Tribolium castaneum: one gene and its partner. Each later gene encodes a partner of the first gene's protein in a complex. Links are inferred from orthologs where the notes say so. Each region holds a gene or a part of one and is shown on either strand. Other genes may lie near its edges.

Region 1 (3,059 bases):
GAAATAAAGATGCGCCAACCTTTAGGAAACTCACCTTCCCATAATATCATCCAACAGGTGGTGCCACCTGCTTTGGCGTCGCCTAGAGAAATTGATGTTGTATCATAATGAAGCATTTTTCTCCTCCTTGTTTGGTGGAACATACAGGTTTTGTTGTAGCGTGTTTAAATCACGCTCATCACCCTGTATATACTAAATGTGTTAATAGCTACTACTGCGCATTGATGTATTCTTTTTTATAAAGTACTTTATATTTATACAGAAATATTTGTATGCAGCAGGCGTAACATGTTTCTTATTTTAATTCCTGATATTGTATCATCTCTTGTAAAGAATATTTTTTGTGATAACTTTGGATGATTGTTTTCATATTGAAGTGTTTTATTCAAGATTTTTATAGGGTTAAGTCATAGTTACTACTATCTGTTAAACAATAATCAATATATCTGTGATTTTATTCCTTTAGAAACATGTAAGTAGTAAAATTAAATTAATAAAGTCATTTGGTACTAAGGCCTATTTTTTCAACTACAATTTTCAGTTGACAAGACTGCATTGTGCAAGACCCGTCATGAAATATTACCATCGAACTAAAAAAATTAACAAAATTTTCCAAAAGTGATAAAAAAAATATTTAGTTGTCCCATTTCATTTCTTAATAGCATAATTTTTGGAACAATTTGCCCCAAAAATAAAATTAAAAATGTCTATTTAGTTAAGTATTCATTGTTATTATTAGATATTATAATATTACTCTTATACTTGGTTGCTAAAAAGTATGGATACAGTTAAATATTAAATAATAATTAATTGAAATCTTGTATTTGCTTAAAAGTACTGTTTAAATTCTATCGTTTTAGATGTCTATAAAATTTTCATTTACATTAATTTTGTTTCTGGGGATACAAGGCTAACTTTTTTTACACAGCAAGAAGGGTCAAATTTATTTTTTTAGTTCTTGATGTAACACATGCTTATCTCATTAAAAAAATATCTAACTAATAAAATTTTCTCTGCTTTGGAAATGTTGTCTTTATCTAACGTTAGCTCGTTTCCGCCTGAACTTTGACCAAAAAATAAGTTAAAGTTAATAATGGTTATTAAATAACACTTTTGTCTGTAAAAGAACACATTTTAATAAAAAAATTAGCTGTAGCCATACTTATTAGCCACTTTGTAAGAGCATTGACTGTCCATCTAGATTGCTTCTTCGTTAATTTATTATACGAATATTTTGCCATCAATTGTTTAATTATCTTCAAAAAATGTTTTTTGTAGTTACGACTTTTTTGCTTCGAAACTTCAAGAAAATTTGTATTTCAATTGTCGTATATTGAAAAACAGCACTCTAAAAAGATATGCATAAAATAACGTGCCAATATCATTTTTGCAAATAAATCGTTTATTAAAGTTCAAAATTTCATACTTCAATTATATGAAATAAAGATACCATAGAAAATTTAAGAAACATGAAATAACTCAAAAAATACGTAAAAGTAGTGACGAAATTTTTGCGTAGTAGGGCAGCATAACTTACCGTAGATGTGACATCACACAAGGATACGCGTGATTCGTGTAAACCCGCCTTTAGTTGTGGCCTGTCATTATAAATGCACCTTTACTGTCATTTGGCGGGCTTTTAGGTTAGAAAACTATTTAGACAAAATTTTAAATCGAAATGTTTTGTGAGAAAGCCCACGTTTTGATCAAAGAATTATCTCGAAACCGGGACGCTTTACCGCCTTACAACGTAAAAATTACCAAATTGTTCCTCACTCAATATTTTACAATTTTTTTTCAGACTGATCTTCTCAATGAAATCAACACTGAAGTCAAGCAACTCATTACTCAAAACCAAGAAGATGCGTAAGTTTACACACTTGATCCTCGAAACCAATACTTCAGCGTTTTTTTTTTCAGTCAAATTTCTGAAGATAGTCGGGTTATGAATCACGCCTCTTATTTACCTACAGTCAAAATACGGCATGCGGCTATCAAACGGAACATTCGATGCATTCTGGCTTATCACTACAATCGGTTAAAATGTCTCAGAAACATGCGCTGGCAATTCGGCAGTATTTTACCGCCAGATGTTAAATCGAATTTAAGTCAATCGGAAATTGAATGGTTTTCGAAATATTCCAGCAATTTAGTACAATATATGCGATCAATTGGTGATGAAGGGATTAATTTAGCTGTGGATTTAAAACCGCCAAAGTCTTTGTATATTGAGGTCAGGTGTCTAACGGATTATGGACAGTTTGAATTGAACGATGGTTCGGTGTTGTTATTGAAGGAAAACAGTCGTCATTACTTACCGAGAAGCGAATGCGAGGAATTAATACGACAAGGGGTCCTTGAACACGTTGTTTGAATTTGGCGCCTTTTTTTTAAACATCAAATGTCCTTGAAAATATTTAAATTACCTTATTTTTGTACGTGGTGATTCAATACTAAATAATTAGTTGTAACATAATCTTAAATTAATCTTATTTCGTAAAATAAAAGCGTCCAGTGTCGCCAACTCTGATTAAATTCCATGTTTTAGTGTTTGTAAGTAAATTGATACCTGAGTTATACACGGTGATTCTGTTAGGGCCTACATTAGTAACTTTTAACTTGTAATATAGCTAGAGCTTTAAAATTTTGTACACGATCTAAATCGACTATTCTGAATTCAACTTATTTTTTTTCAAAATGGCTGAGCTTTCGGAACTACAAAAAATTGGCGCCAAGTTTGAAGTTAAATCACTACTTCGCAGTTTTCATAGTTAATCAAGTAGAACTTGCAAAATGGTCAACAATTGTCAAACTTATTTAATTTTTAGCTGGTTCATTATCAAATAAGCAGTAAAACAATAATATTTAATTATGTTTCATTATAATTTTGTGAATTATGTAAAGTAAGGCAGTTTTACGGTTGACAATACAGAAGATTTTAGAAGATCTTTCAAACCTTTGGCTATCAAATGCAAAAAGAATTATTCACTTATTATAAAGGGTTCACGAGCTGTGATATTTCAAATGAACCCCTGCAAATCAAAATTTATATAAAAAAA
Region 2 (4,282 bases), on another chromosome or scaffold:
GCGAACGGAGTCAAGAGATCGAAACACTATGTCGTCAAAACGCCCCATTCGTCTCAGGCCATCCTGGACGCAAACCAGCACTCGATATCCTACACACTTTCACGCAACCATGCCGTCATAGTGGAATACACCCCCGACGATGACACCGACATGTTTCAAGTAATTGAGCGTTTTTTGCATTTTAGAGTGTTGCCAATTTTTTTCTTTAGATCGGTCGTTCGTCGGAAGCCCCCATCGACTTCGTGGTCATGGACACCGTCCCCGGGGACAAGACTGGCGAAACCAAGGTGATGCAAAGCACGATATCGCGATTTGCGTGTCGGATTTTATGCGATAGGAAGAATCCGAAAATTGCGAGGATATACGCCGCCGGTTTTGACACCTCCAAAAACATATTTCTCGGGGTATTTTAACAATGATTAAATGGAAAAAAATAGTGTGATGTTTTTTTTTTTGCAGGAGAAAGCAACGAAATGGCAGGAAAACGGGCGCGAAATCGACGGTTTGACCACGAATGGTGTGTTAATTATGCATCCAAGAGGGACGTTTTGTGGGGGAGATGCCAAGTGTAGTTATTGGTTGGAGACGTCTGTTGGTGGAGGTGTGTTTTCGTTGAGGGAGTCAAGGTCGGCCCAACAGAAGGGCCAAGTGGTGGAAAACGAGACGAATATTTTGGAAGATGGGACTTTGATCGATTTGTGCGGGGCTACGCTGTTGTGGAGGTCGGCAGAGGGGCTCACAAAATCGCCGGTAATAGACCAGTTAAATAATCATCACTAAGATACTTGTTTTGAATCCCTAATCGTCTAACAAAAAATGTTTTTTAATTATTTTGCAAAAAATCACAAGCAGGTATTTTGAAGTTTAATTTTTGAAAAAAATAAAATAAATTGCCTTTTATATCTAAACGAGCCGCCCATGTGGGTGGGTTCCTAAAGTTGCCATAGAAATGCGCTGCAATATGTCTGTAACTGTGGTAACAAACAGTTGCCACGGTAAAAACCGCCACAATAACAATAGAAAATCAGCTCAGTGGCGGGTAAAACAATTTGTTTTTCGTCTAATTTTCAGAGCAAACGCGACCTGGAGCGCGAAATCGACGAAATCAACGCCGGTCGCCCGCAGTGCCCCGTTGGCTTGAACACTTTAGTCATTCCCCGAAAAGTCACACCGAACGAAAACCTGCAACAGCCTTACGTTTATCTCAACTGCGGACACGTCCAAGGCTTGCACGATTGGGGCCAAGACAAGGATTCGGGCGCCCGAAAGTGCCCCATTTGCCTAGAAGTAACCGATTTTCCAATTTAGTTGCGAAATTTCTGACGTATTTTTTTAGTTGGGACCGGTTGTGAAGGTCTTTATGGGGCTCGAGCCGGCGTTTTATGTCGATTCGGGGCCCCCGACGTTCGCGTTCAACCCGTGCGGGCACATGGCCACCGAAAAGACCGTCAAGTGAGTTTATTATTATTATTATTTTTTGATTGGGTTAATGTACGTTTATTGCAGGTACTGGGCAAATGTGGCTATTCCGCATGGTACGAATGGGTTTCACGCCGTGTGCCCCTTTTGCGCTTCGCCCCTGGCGGGGTCTCCGGGGTACGTCCGCCTAATTTTCCAGGATAATGTGGATTGAAAGGAATGTAGAGTAGTCCACCAAAGCTTTATTTATGTTTTTGCTCTTTTATTTAATGTATAATTGGTTTTTAGCAGTCTCATTTATTAATTTTTTGGAAATTACCCAATTGTAATTACTTGTAATTATTGTATATAATTGCACTTGAAGATGGGAGCGAGCCGAGAATTGCAGTTGTATCATATCATGATTTTTTTAATGGAAATTGCGGTTTATTACAGTGCAAATGCGTGAATCGTTAAGACTGGTTAGGATTTAGCTTATAATGTAATAAGTATTTAATATAAATCGACCTGTTAATGCAATGTTTTATTCAAAAAAAATATTTTTACATACTTAATTGACCCAGATTTTTTGATTTTATCGTGATAACAGGCTGTCTCAAAATTGGCGAATTTTAGTTCAGAGCTTTGTAGAGAATTGCTTCAATAGTCCAAATATAGAAAAAAAAATTAAGATTCTGGGTTTCAACCAATGTCTCTGCGGGGAAGTCCCAAATCTTCATTTTGTTTTTACATTGGGACTACTGAAGGGATTCTCTACAACGCTTTGAACTCGGAATTCGTTAATTTTGAGACACCCTGTAAGTTTCTCCGTTAGTCACTTTTTGTATATACTAGACGATAAGTTGCCGTAGTTAATATTTAAGCTACTATAGTCCCACGAAATGAATTTATCTGTGCCTGGATTCACTAAAAAAAGTTTAAAAATTGAACTATTTGTTGTTATTTATAACCCCACAAACATGTTTAACAATAACATATTACAAAATATTACCCCAAGGACTCGAATTTGTTACGAAAGTTTAATAAGAGTCCGAGTGTTTAACAGCATTTCGTCGCCGTTTTTTTACGATTTAACTTCGTAATTTTACATTAAACGTTTTTGTGAGCCAATTTTAATAATTTTTGCGATCTAGGCGGCTGTGAATTTCGTATTAAGGAAATTTGCCATCGTTGGGGTCATTGAACCCAAAAATTACGACCAAAAGACACACATTTTCACTAAATCCATATTAGTTTCACTCATAATGTCTTTGATAAAAATTGAAAAAAAAATTGTCTTAGAAGTTAACCATTACCACAGCCATTACTAACCAAATTTTGTACTTACTTGAAAAACACCGAAGCCGCCGTTTTTCTCAAGACTAACCACTCCACACCGAAACACTCAGTCTTTTCACATTTTTCTGTAAATATTTGTCCAAAATACACGCATTAACACCTTTTCTTCGAATTAAATTGTGGAAAATGCGACCACCATTAAATTTGACCCACCGCCAATTGTTTCATTACCAACATTAATACAATTAAATCACTAGATGTCACAGCGCCTAAATCAAACTTTTGAATTTTCAATTGCAAAATACTCCGATACTATCGCCCGTTATTTCCAAGTTTTCCTTACCTCAATTTGTAAAAAAAACACCAGACTCAGTCATTTGCTTTAATTTCACTAAAATCTACAATATATACAAACAGTCTTAAAATAATGGTACCCTTACATTAACTGTAATTATGTAAACATGATTTGAAGTAAAAATAAATACTTTGATAATTTTTCAACACCCTAATTCGGAAACAAAATTAACTAGAAGCCCTCTGGTGATGACTTTTGAACTATGTCGAAAACAGTAAAGAAATTTTCGTAATGCCACATTTAACTGACATTTAATGAATTGTTCAACAATTTTGCGTGTATAGTGTTAATTACTTACAATAGAAAGAATTACTTTAAAAGTACGTGGTGGTAAATACTAGCGTTGACTTTGGTTCTGTAGTTTTTCGTGGTATAAAGTGTTTATTGTTGGAACTTGAAAGTGGATAAAAAGTGAAAAATATTTAAATTTTGATTACAAAGTGTTATCAAACAGTTGTCTAATTAAAGATTATAAGTAATGGATCACAGCGAACACAAAGTTTGGCTCAAGAAACCAATAAATTAGTGAAGTGTTATGAATTTTAGGTTAGAATTTTCCACTGAAAAAATCATGAAATGCTGCGGTAAATCTACAAAACTACAATAAAGATTAACAACTGCTGATACATTTAAACGTAAATTATGCCAAAAGGTAGGCTTTTCAATGTCTTTGTAATAATTTTCCAATAAAGAAAGTGAACCAAACAGTCATTCGTTATTCGTGTTTTCCTCGTCATCTCTCATTTGTCAACATAAGTTTCTTGCATCAAAGATGAAATAATCATTCCGCATAGGCAATGTAATAATTGTGAAGCCCCAAAATTCGTACAACGCTCAAAATATCCGAATAAACATTTTCCCGCCATTTATGGTTACTGTTTTCGACCTAGCTCAGTGGCGCCCCCAACGGTAATTTTACTTCCGAATACATGATAAAGGAACATACAATTATGCCACTACAACAATTTTTAAGTGTCGATTACACTAAAAAAGACACTAACCCATCAGTGTTAACCCAGCTAACTAAAATATCGTGACAAACAAAAATTAATTCCAATTTTACATAATCAAAGATCAGACAACAGAAACCCCTGGAAGCCAGCCACTGTGACTAAGATATTGCGTAACAACATCTTTAACACTAACTTCAGACGAATTTTTATCAATTTCAACGGTACGGTGTCGATTCGGAGACAAGAGATTTTCCTATTAAAAAAAAACAATTAAACC

Evidence for each region. Proteins that work in one complex are often made in the same cells at the same time.
Region 2: DNA replication complex GINS protein PSF1 (region 1) and Mcm5 share a complex: the UniProt entries of both Homo sapiens proteins name them as parts of the CMG helicase complex. The link is inferred for Tribolium castaneum from reciprocal best matches to the Homo sapiens genes GINS1 and MCM5.

What each region holds. Positions count from the first base shown.
Region 1 is NC_087400.1:16,460,460-16,463,518, reverse strand, and holds DNA replication complex GINS protein PSF1, read left to right. Parts: upstream 1-1,585; 5' UTR 1,586-1,678; coding exon 1,679-1,750; intron 1,751-1,801; coding exon 1,802-1,866; intron 1,867-1,920; coding exon 1,921-2,374; 3' UTR 2,375-2,524; downstream 2,525-3,059. Other genes in the region: PWWP domain-containing protein 2A, read left to right, coding at 1-108. UniProt on the Homo sapiens protein: Required for correct functioning of the GINS complex, a complex that plays an essential role in the initiation of DNA replication, and progression of DNA replication forks.
Region 2 is NC_087396.1:20,934,105-20,938,386, reverse strand, and holds the start of Mcm5 (DNA replication licensing factor Mcm5), read right to left. Parts: upstream 2,894-4,282; 5' UTR 2,747-2,893; intron 2,349-2,746; exon of another isoform or gene 1,634-2,348; coding exon of another isoform or gene 1,507-1,633; intron 1,453-1,506; coding exon of another isoform or gene 1,337-1,452; intron 1,288-1,336; coding exon of another isoform or gene 1,072-1,287; intron 751-1,071; coding exon of another isoform or gene 460-750; intron 405-459; coding exon of another isoform or gene 210-404; intron 160-209; coding exon of another isoform or gene 1-159. Other genes in the region: Pli (protein pellino), read left to right, coding at 1-159, 210-404, 460-750, 1,072-1,287, 1,337-1,452, 1,507-1,633; Ada2b (transcriptional adapter 2B), read right to left, coding at 4,127-4,258. UniProt on the Homo sapiens protein: Acts as a component of the MCM2-7 complex (MCM complex) which is the replicative helicase essential for 'once per cell cycle' DNA replication initiation and elongation in eukaryotic cells.